Linked DNA regions of Schizosaccharomyces pombe. Changing the gene in region 1 together with any one later gene gives a genetic interaction. Each region holds a gene or a part of one and is shown in the gene's direction. Other genes may lie near its edges.

What was found.
Region 2: of mtl16 (region 1) and abp2, extra expression of one rescues a mutant of the other (dosage rescue), as found in Schizosaccharomyces pombe (one study listed by BioGRID).

What each region holds. Positions count from the first base shown.
Region 1 is NC_003424.3:4,519,296-4,526,119, reverse strand, and holds mtl16 (methyltransferase Mtl16), read left to right. Parts: upstream 1-3,039; 5' UTR 3,040-3,169; coding exon 3,170-3,243; exon of another isoform or gene 3,244-3,289; coding exon 3,290-3,365; exon of another isoform or gene 3,366-3,443; coding exon 3,444-3,454; exon of another isoform or gene 3,455-3,500; coding exon 3,501-3,655; exon of another isoform or gene 3,656-3,703; coding exon 3,704-4,080; exon of another isoform or gene 4,081-4,127; coding exon 4,128-4,217; exon of another isoform or gene 4,218-4,273; coding exon 4,274-4,648; 3' UTR 4,649-4,745; downstream 4,746-6,824. Other genes in the region: SPOM_SPAC27D7.09C (But2 family protein ), read left to right, coding at 1,581-2,732; Sm snRNP core protein Smd1, read left to right, coding at 5,130-5,143, 5,187-5,236, 5,293-5,582; etf1 (electron transfer flavoprotein alpha subunit), read right to left, coding at 6,049-6,824.
Region 2 is NC_003423.3:4,128,865-4,135,465, forward strand, and holds abp2 (ARS-binding protein Abp2), read left to right. Parts: upstream 1-2,000; 5' UTR 2,001-2,837; coding exon 2,838-4,421; 3' UTR 4,422-4,771; downstream 4,772-6,601. Other genes in the region: naa35 (NatC N-acetyltransferase complex subunit Mak10), read left to right, coding at 4,855-6,549, 6,595-6,601. UniProt on the Schizosaccharomyces pombe protein: Binds, preferentially, to the Maundrell ARS consensus sequence within ARS3002.

The sequences.
Region 1 (6,824 bases):
ATTACTAAAATACCCGTTTAATTAGATATTAGACAGAACTACTGTAAGTAGAGCTCAAACTTTTCTTGTATGTCAGTTCCGGCATGAGGCAGTTATAAGTAGAGACATAATGTAACAATAATGATAGTATCTGTTACTCGTACATTTTACATATCGCTTGCTATACATGAGTAAATTTCAAAAAAAACTCATCTCTAACCTACCGTTTGCTGCCTTTTTTAAGGATTTGAGAAATGCAGTAAGAGTTTTCTTTGCCGATTCATAATATTACAATAAGCAAATAAATGAGGGAGTAGCTTGCTATATGTATTCTAATATATAAGTTAAATTGTTACCTATCACTAAAATAACTTATAACTGAGCTTCATACTTCAAATTTAGTCATAGTTCTCAGTTCTATTTACAACTTACCTAGTAATTTTGTTAACGATTTTTCAATGCACATAGAATTTTGATAATCTGCAATTACCGGTTCGGGGATCTAATTAATATTTACCATATGTCATTAGTAGTACGTAGTTGTTAGCTACGCAGTTTAGTATTTATTTAACGACACATTGAACTACAGTTAGTTATATATTAGAACATTAGTTAAGATCCGTTTATTAATAATTGTAGCTATTTATTCATCTATCCACATAAATTTCACATTCATAGCTGCTATTAGAAAGATTATAAATAGAGCTACAACTGAATCTCGTTCCTCAGTTTCACTTACTAGCTAGCTATATCTGTGACTGCTTCTAGTAGACTCATTAAAACAATGAATATAACACTGTTATTTAAACATACCGCATACCCCTACATCAAGTTGCAAGAAGCCATATAGGAACACATAACGCAGCTCAGTAAATTGACCGCAATATGGGATAACATAGAGTAGTGCAGTATTATCAATATTACCGCAATTTACCGTTAGTTCTCGATAAACTACCGGAAGTGGTTTCTTATAATGTTGTATGCAGGGATTTAGTGAATATTACGTAGAGTATTATTTTAAAAAGGTTTCAGCAACTGTACCAGAATAGCTAGGCTGAATACCAATTTGGGAAAATTCACTTGACTGGGTTTCTAATCATAAACATACGGTTAATTGTATCAATAGAAGTTATGATTAATATTTTTCCGTAAATACCCTTGGAATTGTATGACATATATTGATTTGCTAAGTAAAGCAATAAGTAGCGTACTGCAATTTTGCCGATATGAAAAACTGCACATGTTTATTACATAATTACTGCCATTCGGAAGCGCCGTGTAAAGCGGATTATTTGAACCGGGTTTTTTTCATAGAATATTCTTAAATTTTATCGAACTAAAATTCTAGAATAATGTTCATTATTATAAATATAAGCACGATGCTTGGCAAATAATTGTTGGTAACACTTAAAGAAATATCTGATACGAAAAAAGGAATTCTTACTTTGGTTGACAATAAGTGATTAATCTTCTTCAGTTTGATCAATCTTATTGCAATATCTAGAAATTCCTCCAATTTTTTAGTTATTATTAAAAGTTTCAATTAAAAAAAAAAACATTCATTTGCTTTGACTTTCTTGCATTTTTGTTTAACTTACGTTATGAAGCTTACTTCAATCCCCATTGCTTCCACATTGCTCTCTTTGCTCGCTGCCTCGGGCACATTAGCTTCACCGTTGCATAAGCGTGATGACCCTTTGAACAACAAGCAATTTGGCCTAATGTCTATTCATTCTGGCAACAGTTATGTCCACTTGCACCCTTTCTATGTAGGAGACTCTGGCGCTATTTACCTGGATCCTACTGATGGTACCAGTACTAGTGCTGTCTTTTCTATGAGTAACGGAAGACTGGTTGTCGGAAATCTTTACGCTTCGGTTGACAGCAATGGCACCACTATTTTCAAATCTGATGCTAATGCAGCTTCCACTAAGTTCAGTGCTGGTGATGCTACTAATGTTGGATACAATCTTCTATATAATGGAACCCAATCTGCGGTAGCTTGTCCTGCTAGTGATAATGATCAGGTCTACCAAGTATACTTCGGAGCCGGAAATGGTAACCCCAATTGTGCAGGTATTGCTATTGAGGCCTTCGTGTCTCCATCCTCTTCTTCTTCTTCTTCTAGTTCAGCTGCTACTTCAACTTCAACTCGCGTTTCATCGTCTGCTAAAGCAAGCACTTCTAGTGGGGCAATTGCTTACACCACCAAATGTGTTGTTGTTCCTGTTACAGCATCGGCTACTGCCACGGCAAAAGCTGCATCCGCAGCAGCTTCCTCAGCTGTTTACCCTCTTTTCCCACATGGAATTCGTTTGATCGATTCTGCTAACCCCAGTTCCAACTCCGGTAATGTTTACTCTCCAGTCGTCTTTCAGAAGCAAAACAATCATACCAACACGATTTTCACATTTGATGTTCCTCAAGTTTCCGGCAGTTGCGAACTCAACCTACATCTCGATACTAGCGGTTTCCCAATCACTGTTGAAGGCAGCAATGGTGTTGGTCAATTCATTCTTTTCAACCTCTCCTCCGTCGCCAACGATTCTACTGTTTACTCCAACCGTCCAAACCGCATTGCCGAAATTGGACGTTTCAACTGCTCTAGCTCTGGTTGCGATTATGCTACCAACGTTACATGCCCCAACTCATACACCGCGGTTTCTTATGAAATGATGGCTCTCACTGATGACTCTTATTTGAGTTTCTTCGAAGAAGCCGATCCTCTTGAGGGATTAACTTTACGAGTTTAAATTTAACTTATTGAGAAATCAAGAAGCATTATCTAGTTTAACTTCATTAGCATTTAAATTCATTACTTTTCTTTCCTTTATGAGTAATAATTTCCAGTAATCTTTGGGTAGACGCTATTGTTAAATGGAAAAATCTATTCAAGGGCCACCGATTATGTTGTACCATTTACCTAAGTAGACTCAGTGTATGCTGTATTTATTTTTGCTCACCTAATGTACCTTTAATATTTTTCTATATATTACCACTAATTATACGGCATTCGAAAGCGTTATTTGTACGAGCAAATTTGCGTTTTTTAACCAAGCAACCGCCGATAAAGGCGATATAGCAAAAAAAATTTACGTACTCAAAAATATGACTGATAAAACTGATATTATAAATTTCGATAGTTTAGCAAGGGATTATCCCGACTTGAGATCTTTGTAGGGCGTTCTCAATGCCAATTTATATACTAATTGAACGTAGCGTCAAAAATGGTCGCATTGATTTTTGGAACGAAGATGCTATTCGGTTGGTAAACTCACATATGTTAAACGATTGCTTACCTATAAATTAGTACGTTAGGAAAAGCAATTCTGGATCGGGATTATTCTCTTCGTGTTGAATTTCCTGAGAATCGTCTATGTCCAATGGTAAGAGATGTGTAGCATCACCAATGTTTCTTTTAAACAAACATTTCCCTTCTCTCATAAATGCTAATTCATTTAAAGGTTCCAAACCGGTATATTAACACATTGTTTATTCATCATTTATAACCAACTTTTCAGAGCCACTTATATAAGATATATTCATGACCTGTTGTCAAGTACATCTGGGCAAAAGGATAAAAAAAGAATCATTGGTTTGGATATTGGTACCGGCGCTAGTTGTATATACCCATTATTAGGCTGTCGTATGTACTCATATGATTTCGTTGGCACCGGTAAGCTTTGATTTTTCACAGGCTTTTACTAATTACTCAAAACTCTAGAAATTGACAAATTTTCTTTTGAAACAGCCAAGAGCAATATTCTTCAAAATAACATGGAATCCCAGATCAAAATTGTGCTTCGTTCTAAACAAGACTGCTTACTCCCTGATACCGAAGGGATGGAAGAATTTACCTTTGTGATGTGTAATCCCCCATTTTATGAACATGAGGAAGATTTCATAAATTTTAAGCAAAATCCACCATCGGGTGTTTGTACTGGAGTTTATCATGAAATGGTTACAGAGGGTGGTGAAGTCGGATTTGCCAATAAAATCTTAACTGAAAGTAAAAAAAGGAAAGGAATTCAATGGTATACCTGTATGTTTGGCAAAAAATCAAGTGTACCTGCTGTGGTTGATAAATTGCGTGAACAAAATGTAAGTCCTAACTAGCCTTTAAAATTTTTTTAACTTATATCTGTAAGATATCAAATTATGGAATTTACGAACTCGCACTTGGAAAGACTAAGCGCTGGATAATTTGCTGGTCATTTCAGGCTATGCGTCCACACAATGTATGCTGCTATCGAACGATATTTAAAATTCATGATACTAACAAAAGGATCCAAAGGAACTTATACGTCCTTCTTCAACTTCCCTTTCTAAATATTTCCCCCATAAGGTTCTTCAGAATTGGACTTTAGACCCAGAATTATGTGCTCAAATTGATGACATTCTACAGAAATTCTTAGATGATAACAAAATTCCGTGGTCTAAAAAAGGATCCGTTTTGGAAATATCAACAAAATCTATCACTTGGTCTCGTAAAGCTCGACGGATATCCAAAAGTCAAACTTCTGTTTCTAGTCTGGAAGGACAAATGAAATGTGAACTGAACGTAATAGATAATCAATTGCAGTGTAAATGGATTGAAGGATATGATTATAATGTTTATGAAAGTTTCTGTTCAGCTTTAGCGCGAGCTTTACGGGACAATAAAAAATAATTCAATTCGTGAAAATTCACTTGGTAATCTTCTTATATTGAATAGCCAAAGCTTTGAATTTTGTATTTGAATAAAATGTCTTAAATTGTATAAAATAAATGATTAAAACAAATGACATGCGATACATAATAATTTTATCTCTAAAATTTGATGCCTTAAAGCTCATTCGAGTATTGGGTTCGAAACCCATTTATTTAGACTAATGAGTGCTTTCACTTAATTATTAAAATTAGTATCAAGCTTTTTCAACAGTCGAATCTGTATTAAGAAGTCTTAGCTTCTCAACTTTATTCTCAGATACTGGAAAAATAAATGCACATGAAGATCAGCCTATTAATATCACAAAGCTATTTTGGACTAGTAAAACTTCAGAATCCATTATATCTTAACATAAAATTGATGATTTTATCTATTGTTGATGTGTTTTAGTCGAACATAATACTTGATTTTTGCAGTTGCCAGGAACACCAAAGCACACACCATGAAGTTGGTACGGTAAGTATGATAAAAAATCTATACATATTCCTAACGAGTTTAGCTTTTTAATGAAGCTGACGAATGAAACTGTCTCTATTGAGTTAAAAAATGGTACGTAAAGCCTTACTTTCGTATAATAAATGAACCAAACTTACCAAATCGCGTAGGCACAATTGTTCACGGAACGATTACTTCTGTTGATATGCAAATGAATACCCATTTAAAAGCTGTTAAAATGACTGTCAAAGGTAGAGAGCCAGTGCCTGTAGAAACTCTGTCAATTCGTGGAAATAACATACGCTACTACATCCTCCCAGACTCGTTACCACTTGATACCCTTTTAATTGATGATAGCACAAAGCCAAAACAAAAGAAGAAAGAGGTAGTACGAGGTCGTGGACGTGGACGTGGCCGTGGAACTAGAGGCAGAGGCCGCGGTGCTTCTCGTGGGTTTTAAATATTATGAAAATATTCTCTTTTCGCACCCTTATTTTTGTCAGAGAATTTAAAATTATTGGCAATATCAATCGGCCTTTGCATTTTATTTTCTTTTAATAGATTTGCTTTGTGATGACATTGAAGTATTGCTGAGAGTGTATGCGTATTCTATGTTTTCCATGTTTCTATCATTTATCTCTGGTTAAATATCTAGACCGCTAAAAAAATCCCTTTCTTTCTCATACGTTGAAATGTTTGATAATCAACCTACGATAGCTTTGCTGAGGTGGCTTCATAAATGTATGTATAAAACGACTTCAGAGTTGTTTCACTGGTATATAATTAAATATTACATCAAAAATTTCCTTAATTTATTACGAGTACCCAGTTAAATAAACGTGTATTTTATTAACTTCTAAAAAGATGTGAAATTTGAAATAAATGTGATATTATGAAAAATAAGGAATCATTCCTCAACATGATTTTCAAAGTTTTTCAGTAAGCTCCGGGACGATTTCAAATAAGTCACCTACAATTCCCACATCTGCTGTTTGAAAGATAGGAGCATTTTCATCGCGATTTATAGCAGCAATGACTTTGCTATCTTTGATTCCGGCAAGATGCTGAATAGCACCATCAATTCCAACAGCAATATAAAGCTTTGGGGCGATGATTTTTCCAGTTTGACCTATTTGTAAAGAATTATCAGCATAGCCAGAATCCACGGCAACACGTGTAGCACCAATTGCTGCACCCAATTTGTCAGCCAAAGGTGTAAGGATGCGTTCAAATGTCTCTTTGTCTTTCAAAGGTCGACCACCAGCAACAACTCTTTCGGCAGAAGACAAATCAGGCCTAGCATTCTTTATAATATTCTCACTAACCCATTCTTGTAGAGCAGCTGGTTTTGGATCAATACCTTCAACAACAGTGGCTGCTCCTTCACCACTTGAAGGAGCGGCGTCAAATGCAGATGCACGAACGGTGACGATTTTAATAGGATCCTTTGTAGACACAGTAACGTTTACGTTTCCCGCGTATGTCGGACGAACGAATGTGTCAGCAGAAACCACACCAATAATGTCACTAATCTGCATCACATCAAACATAGCAGCCAAACGAGGCATCACCCCTTTACCAACAGTTGAATGAGCAGAAAAAACATGACTAATTTCATTTTTCTTAACATTTTCAAAAAGAACATTGGCTATTTGATCGGGAATGTTATGCTCATATGACGGATTCTCAACGTAGATAACCT
Region 2 (6,601 bases), on another chromosome or scaffold:
AACTTACTAGTGCTGACAGCGTAGATTACGGTAAACAGAAACAAACATGCCTCCTTAGAATGAAGGTCAGAAAGGGAATTCCAGAGAAGAAATGAACCCTACCTAGAAGCATATTAAGTAGCCGCTACCAAGGGATGAACCCAAATAGTGGAAAAGACGGATTGAGCAATTGACATTCAAAAAAACGGCCTACCGCAATAACAATTTAAGAGATTAAAAATAGATTTATCATTTTTTATAATTTTTTTATTTTTGGGATTTCTTCTGGCTTGGCCATCCAATTGATGATTGTTTATTAACTTACGATTATATTAGTGCTAAACCACCATTATTTATTACAGTCGGTGTTATTAAGCGTATTGCTGACGAGATTTTTTTTCTTGTATGAATCCAAATTTGCGATGCTACGCCTTGACTGTTTTCTTTTTTTCACCATAGTATGTGAAAATTTTCTGATGCCGAAATCTCAGCAATGGTGAAATTTTGCCAAAAAAGGGGTCAATTGATCTTGAATAGGGCTGAAAAAAAAATTCAAAAGTAAATAAAATTAAATATATTTATTTACAAAAAGTTAAGTCGGTTTGGTTTTTCGCTTCTCTTTTTACAAAATTTTTTATTATTTTATTATTTATTTATTAATTTTATATCTAGCAGATCAATATTTAGCAAGCCACCCCGTACAATAATTAAAATAGCTCTTTTCATGACATAGTAAGAAGACTAAAGTGCGAAACATGTTCAATTAACGCCAAGAAAATGCTTCCGTTTACGCCTCCTTCAACCATACCCGAATTTTTTACTCAAAATTTATGTACGTACTTTTGGCTGTATTACAAGAATCCATAGCTAACCTCTGTAAAAGGATATCACCTTATACACAAAGGCTAGGTTATCCTGCTACCACTATAAAGAAAATGAAAGTTCCCATAATGAAGTCTGTATTTTGAATGTATATTGTCACTTTATTTCGCCTACAACCTTCACGCGAACTCAGCAAAAAAGGGAAAACCCTATTTTACAGCGGCTTCAAATCAGGTCCTTATTAGTGCGACCAATTGGCCTTTCTTCCTTAAAATGGCGATTGCCGTTTAAGGAATATCACTAGAAGCCGTTAGCAGCTATTATTTAAATTGGTAGTTTCAACAAGTAAATCGAAGAAGGCATATCTCTTTATACTTTGAGTGGCAACTCAAGAAATTGTTAAAATTAGCTGTTAAAAATTTGCCATAAATATAGAGAGTGAATGTCGTTTTGTTTACTAACAGTAGTACTCATGTACTCTAATCTAAATAGCTGTTTATTTCCAAAAAAAATAGTTTTATAGCTTATTATTCGTAATAATTAGTATTCAACCTTAGATTTGTAATATGCGCTCCGTTGCAAATGCAAAAAGATACTATTAGAGAAGAGCCGATTTTTTAAATTCTCGATGCCGCTGGATCATTTCCACTGTCTGTCTCATTATTTATTCTGTTTTTTTATATGATTCGATTTTATTTGTCTTTTTCATTTATAGCATTGGTCGATTGAAATCAAAATTTGCATTTTTTGTATTCCATTCGGGTTGCCGCCAATGTGTGCCCCTAGTGTGTGCCCCTAGTGTGTCAGGTAAATAACAGCAGTCGAGACAGCGCAATAACCATTGCTTTACAGAAATGAGTAGTAAATCTGTAATAATCTTTGAACTCTTGATTGAAACATTTTTAATTTATTGCCTCTATTTTTTAATGCAATCCCGTTCCATCTTTCCTCTAGCAATTTCTCGATCTATCCAAAAGATATAGGGAGATTGAAGGTGTCCTAATGTGCGATTACGTATCCCTCATCGGTAAACGGCGCACGACTCCGTTTACCGACAGTCGTTAAGTACCTTGATTCAGCGAGTGCTACGGTAACAACGGGTTAAAGGTATCATCTTGTTATCTGAGTCGGATGGCCCAAGGTATCACAATATATGAAGGAAAAAGAGTACTTTATTCGCGTTTCCCATTTTCTACTCTATCTTCCATTCCAATATATAAATTGGACTTTTGCTCGTGTGCAAGTTTTTCGCGCTTTTTATTTATCGTTTGTAAATTAGATTTAAGAGGTTTCGCCTCTTTGGAAATATCTTTCTTTGCCATCCTTCTTTTGAAAAATCGCGAAATTGTATGACCGTGCAATTTTCTTTTTCTCGAAAAGCTAAACGCCAAGGTAATAGGTTTTCGTGAGAGAAACTCTTCCAATTCTTAATTTCAATTGTGAATACAACCGATTGTTGGAGGGTTTACAATTTTTTCCGAAAATTTCTCGACACCCTTGCTATACGTGCCATATAGCTTAGGGACACCATTCTTATTTTCTTTCTTAAAGAAGAAAAACTTCTGTAATACCTTCCGCATCCTTTTTTCATCATAGGAGGGGATCAATTGTTTTCATAATCTGTGCATCTTTTCGTATAGTGTAGACGAGCTACTTCATGTCAATACTTCTCTAATTTCTAGAGAAGAAACAAACAAAATTTAACATCTGTACTTATATTTTCTTTTTTTTGGTTACATTCATTCTCTTATTTCGTTTTTTTTGCTTTATTTACCTCCATTCCCTTTTTTTAGTGTACGGAAAAAAAAACATCGGTTCATTTACAGATTGGAGTTTAATTTATAGACAGCAACTCCTTCCTGTTCCAAGAACTGATACATTCTATTAAAATCCCTGGATCTTTTCTGATATTTATATACTGTTAATCTCTTTATTCGACATTGCTTGTGTCTTTCTGTCGTGTTTACTTAATAATCCAACGTTTATCTATCTGTCTTTTTACATTTTTTATTGTTTTTTAAAGCAATTAATCAAGGATGAACTTTTATTCCTTGTTGCCATCTAGACATGATGTTAGCGCGGATAATATTACTGAAAAGTTCTGCCAATTCTGTCTTTGCTGCAATCCCTGGTATGCAGGTGCTGACACGAGGCAATTAGCAAATGCATTCAATATGATTCCTAAATCAGAGGGTCAAAAATTTGAGATTTGGGTCTTATTTCTCCTTGTCCGGCAATACCACCAAAAAATAATTAACTCTTGGTCCAAGCTGGTGGGTTTTCTTGGTGTGGAACGAAAAGATGAACAATCTACTCAAAAAATACAACAGTATGTTGTTCGTTTAAAACGGTGGATGAGTCAAACACATGTTGATGCTTTTTTCGATTATCTCCTGAATAAACCAAATCCTTATTATCTCGAAATTCCTGAAACCCAACCTCAAGTTCGATGCAATGTAAATGTAACTGATGATTTGGTTATTAAATCTTTACGTGCAGGCTTAATGTCTCATCCAGATGTTAACTCTTCCTCCATCTCCACAATGCGCACGTCAACCTCCCCTTCTAACTGGATTCATTCAGCTAGTGCTAGTTTAGACGACAACACTCACAATCTTGGTAGCTTTGTCACAAACCCTCATGCAGATTCCCAAGAATGCCCTACCCCTCAATCCCTTTTAATGAGAGCGTCCCATCACATGTCTGAACGAGGTTCTCAACAAGCACATCAGACAACTCCTCAAAACCATTCTCTCCCACATCCTCCAAATATGTTTGAACCACCTGACGAAGACCATCAGTTACCTTCCGCAGCCAACAATTCACATAACCATGATCACGCTTTTCAAACTGCTGAAGCAGTTGGCGTTGCTGATTCCATTGATCCTGACTGGCATCAATGGCCTGATGATTTACGAGACGTTTCTTCACCCAAAGAAAGTGACGGGTTGAATGATTCTTGGTCTCGACAAACCAATCAAGTAGAAACGGAAAATGTTGAAAATGAAGCAGGAGTCCCTCGTAAACGCGGGCGTCCGCCAGGAGCTCGTAACAAAATTAAACGGCTGAGATCTGAACCATCTGTGTCATTAACGCTAAGTATCTCTTGGTATGAAAGATTTGAAAAGTTGATGCATGCTCAAAATACAATGCTTCGCTCTGCATTTTCACATGTTGCTCGTCTGCCCATGGAAACGGTTTCTCAACTTTTATCACACTATACTGAAACGATATCCCAATATCTTCCTCCCTCCGAAACTTCGCCGATCCCCAAAACTCCCAATTTTAAGTTCATCTCAAGTACTCTTTTAGCCCTGGTCTCTTCTCATTCCGAAATCCTTGAAGCCAGTACCGATCGCTTAATTTGGACCGTTCATCAAGGACCATTAACAGCTACTATATGTCATGCATTCAATTTGGAAAAAGCGCCGAGTATGCACTCATTAGCAGAAGCTCAGATGATTCCCGATGTCCCTATATCTCATTCAAATTCAATGGAGCCTTTAGACACTGTTTCCTCATTAAAATTAGAAATTGCCAAACTGAATGCGGCCCTAAAAGAAAAAAATTTAGAACTCGAAAATTTAAAGAGAAAGATTATGAATGCAGTGTTTGACTGAAATCACGATTCTTCCATGCATGTATCTATTTATGCAGTACACTTTGCGACTGCACGTTCCACGAACTGGTGCAATTTCAAAGTTACAAAATTCTCATGTTCAAAAAAGCATAATTGTTTAAAGTATTTATTTTGTTTTCCTTCTCTTTATTTTATAAAAAGTTTTTAGATATTCTACTGCTAGGTGAGATGGGTTACCATCGAGATAGTTTTTTACCTTTGCAGATACAAGTAAAATAATTTCAAATTGGATTTATCATTGTTTTTATTATTATTGAAAAAATTACCATCTTATTTACTCTCGAAAATGTTATTGAACAAGCATTTTTATGCGTGGAATTTTTGTTGTGACTTACAGAGTAACACTTTTCATTAACCCATAAACTAGACGTTCAATAGAAAATTGGTCAATATAGGGGTGTTTTGTCGATTTTATGTCTGTTAAAGAGTCCCTATCATTGCTTAATTCTATGCAAGGAAATGTGAAGATTGGAAATGTGGAACCGGCCAAAGGGAACGAAGGTTATGTTGATAACGCTGGATATGTCGACTGTACAAAGTCTTACTTTGAAGCCACGAAATCTCTGAAAGAGGAACAGCTAGTATGTGATCCAAAATTTACATTATTGGATTCAATCAGTGCCTTTGAAATTATGGAACCGAAAATGGATAGTGGGATTGATTATCAGCCACTTCGTGTAGATTTTTCACGTGATCTCTCTTACTTGGAAATATTAGCGTTAATGGATTTAATTGTCTCTGCGGAAAAAGAGTGGCATTATGGATCCCCCTTATCAGAGAGCTTACTCTGTAGTGCCCATGTGTTCTCCATTTGCAAGTCGCCTATTTCACAAGTGGGTGACAGTGGCTTCTCCAGTGGTAGCGGAAGGAATACAACTGACATCGTTCTTTTCCCTTTTGTTTTGGCTGTTATTAAATGTTGCGATATTGTTCATCGAGAATTTCTGATGGGAAATTTATATGACGAGGAAGACATTAGTTCGTTTTCATATCACATGTCCTTTCTTCAAAATTACCCCATAGAAAAACTCAATTATCTTTTGCAATCTAGCATCGAATATTTGGCTTCCGAGGTTATAAAATTTTCTGCCGAGTTACGACAAATTATCGAGGGAATTCTCAATAGAATACAACTTCGAATTGGTATTTTACGAGTGTATGAAAGGAGTGATATTAAGACCACCATCGATGCTCTCCATCTGATCAAAAATTTGGTACCCGAGATTCAGAACACGGTTTCGGTAGTTGATTCATCTATCAAGGAGAGCATATTAAAGCAATATTGGGATTTTCGCGTCCAAGCCCAATTAGTTGCTACAGCTCCTGTGAGGAATATTCCTCCTACTGGCATTGAGCATTCTTATCAACGAATTTTGTATTTTGCTGATGATATGCTTTTGATTTTGAATAGCCACACTCTCGCTTCTTCCTTGGCAGTATATCAGTTTTGTTTAGATTTTACGAGATTGAATCGTACTCCAGAGCCTTACGTCCGTTCCTCCCTTCAAGCACTTATCACTGCTAACAATGCAGTTAATCTAAGGGATCAACCTACTTCGTATATGTTAGAATGTATTCGTGAGTTTTCTGGGCTTCCTTCAAATTTTTATAATCCTAACACCCGTACAGTAATCGAAAAAAACTCTATCTCATCAGCCTATGGTCCGCTAGTTGAGTCTTTGATTGCTCATTCAACTAATATCATGGTTGACCTTGTCCGAATTTGTTCCCACAATCCCTGTCGGTTCCGCCGTAATCTAATAAATTTACTTCCTGAAATTACCGTTGCTCATTTTGAAGCTGAAGCGCTTGATTTGAAATTCGTAGCAAAAAGCCTACCAAGTAATGGACCGTTTTCATCATTTATTTACCATGTTAAGCTAAATGCAATTGAGCATATCTTGCTTTCTTCCTTTGAACAAAAACTTCACCAACCATATCAATGGCCCCATTTTTTTGCTGTGCTTGATCATGTCTTTTCTATCCACCAGACTCATTTAGAGCTTCATGGAAAGGATCGTAATACCCCACCTATGGCCAAAACCTTTGTTACATATTTGCATCGAATATTGAATGCTATAAAGGAGACCTATTCTGGCTATTTACTAGTATGTATAAAGCTTATCGCTTCTTTTTTATTCTAACGATTTTAGCTGACGG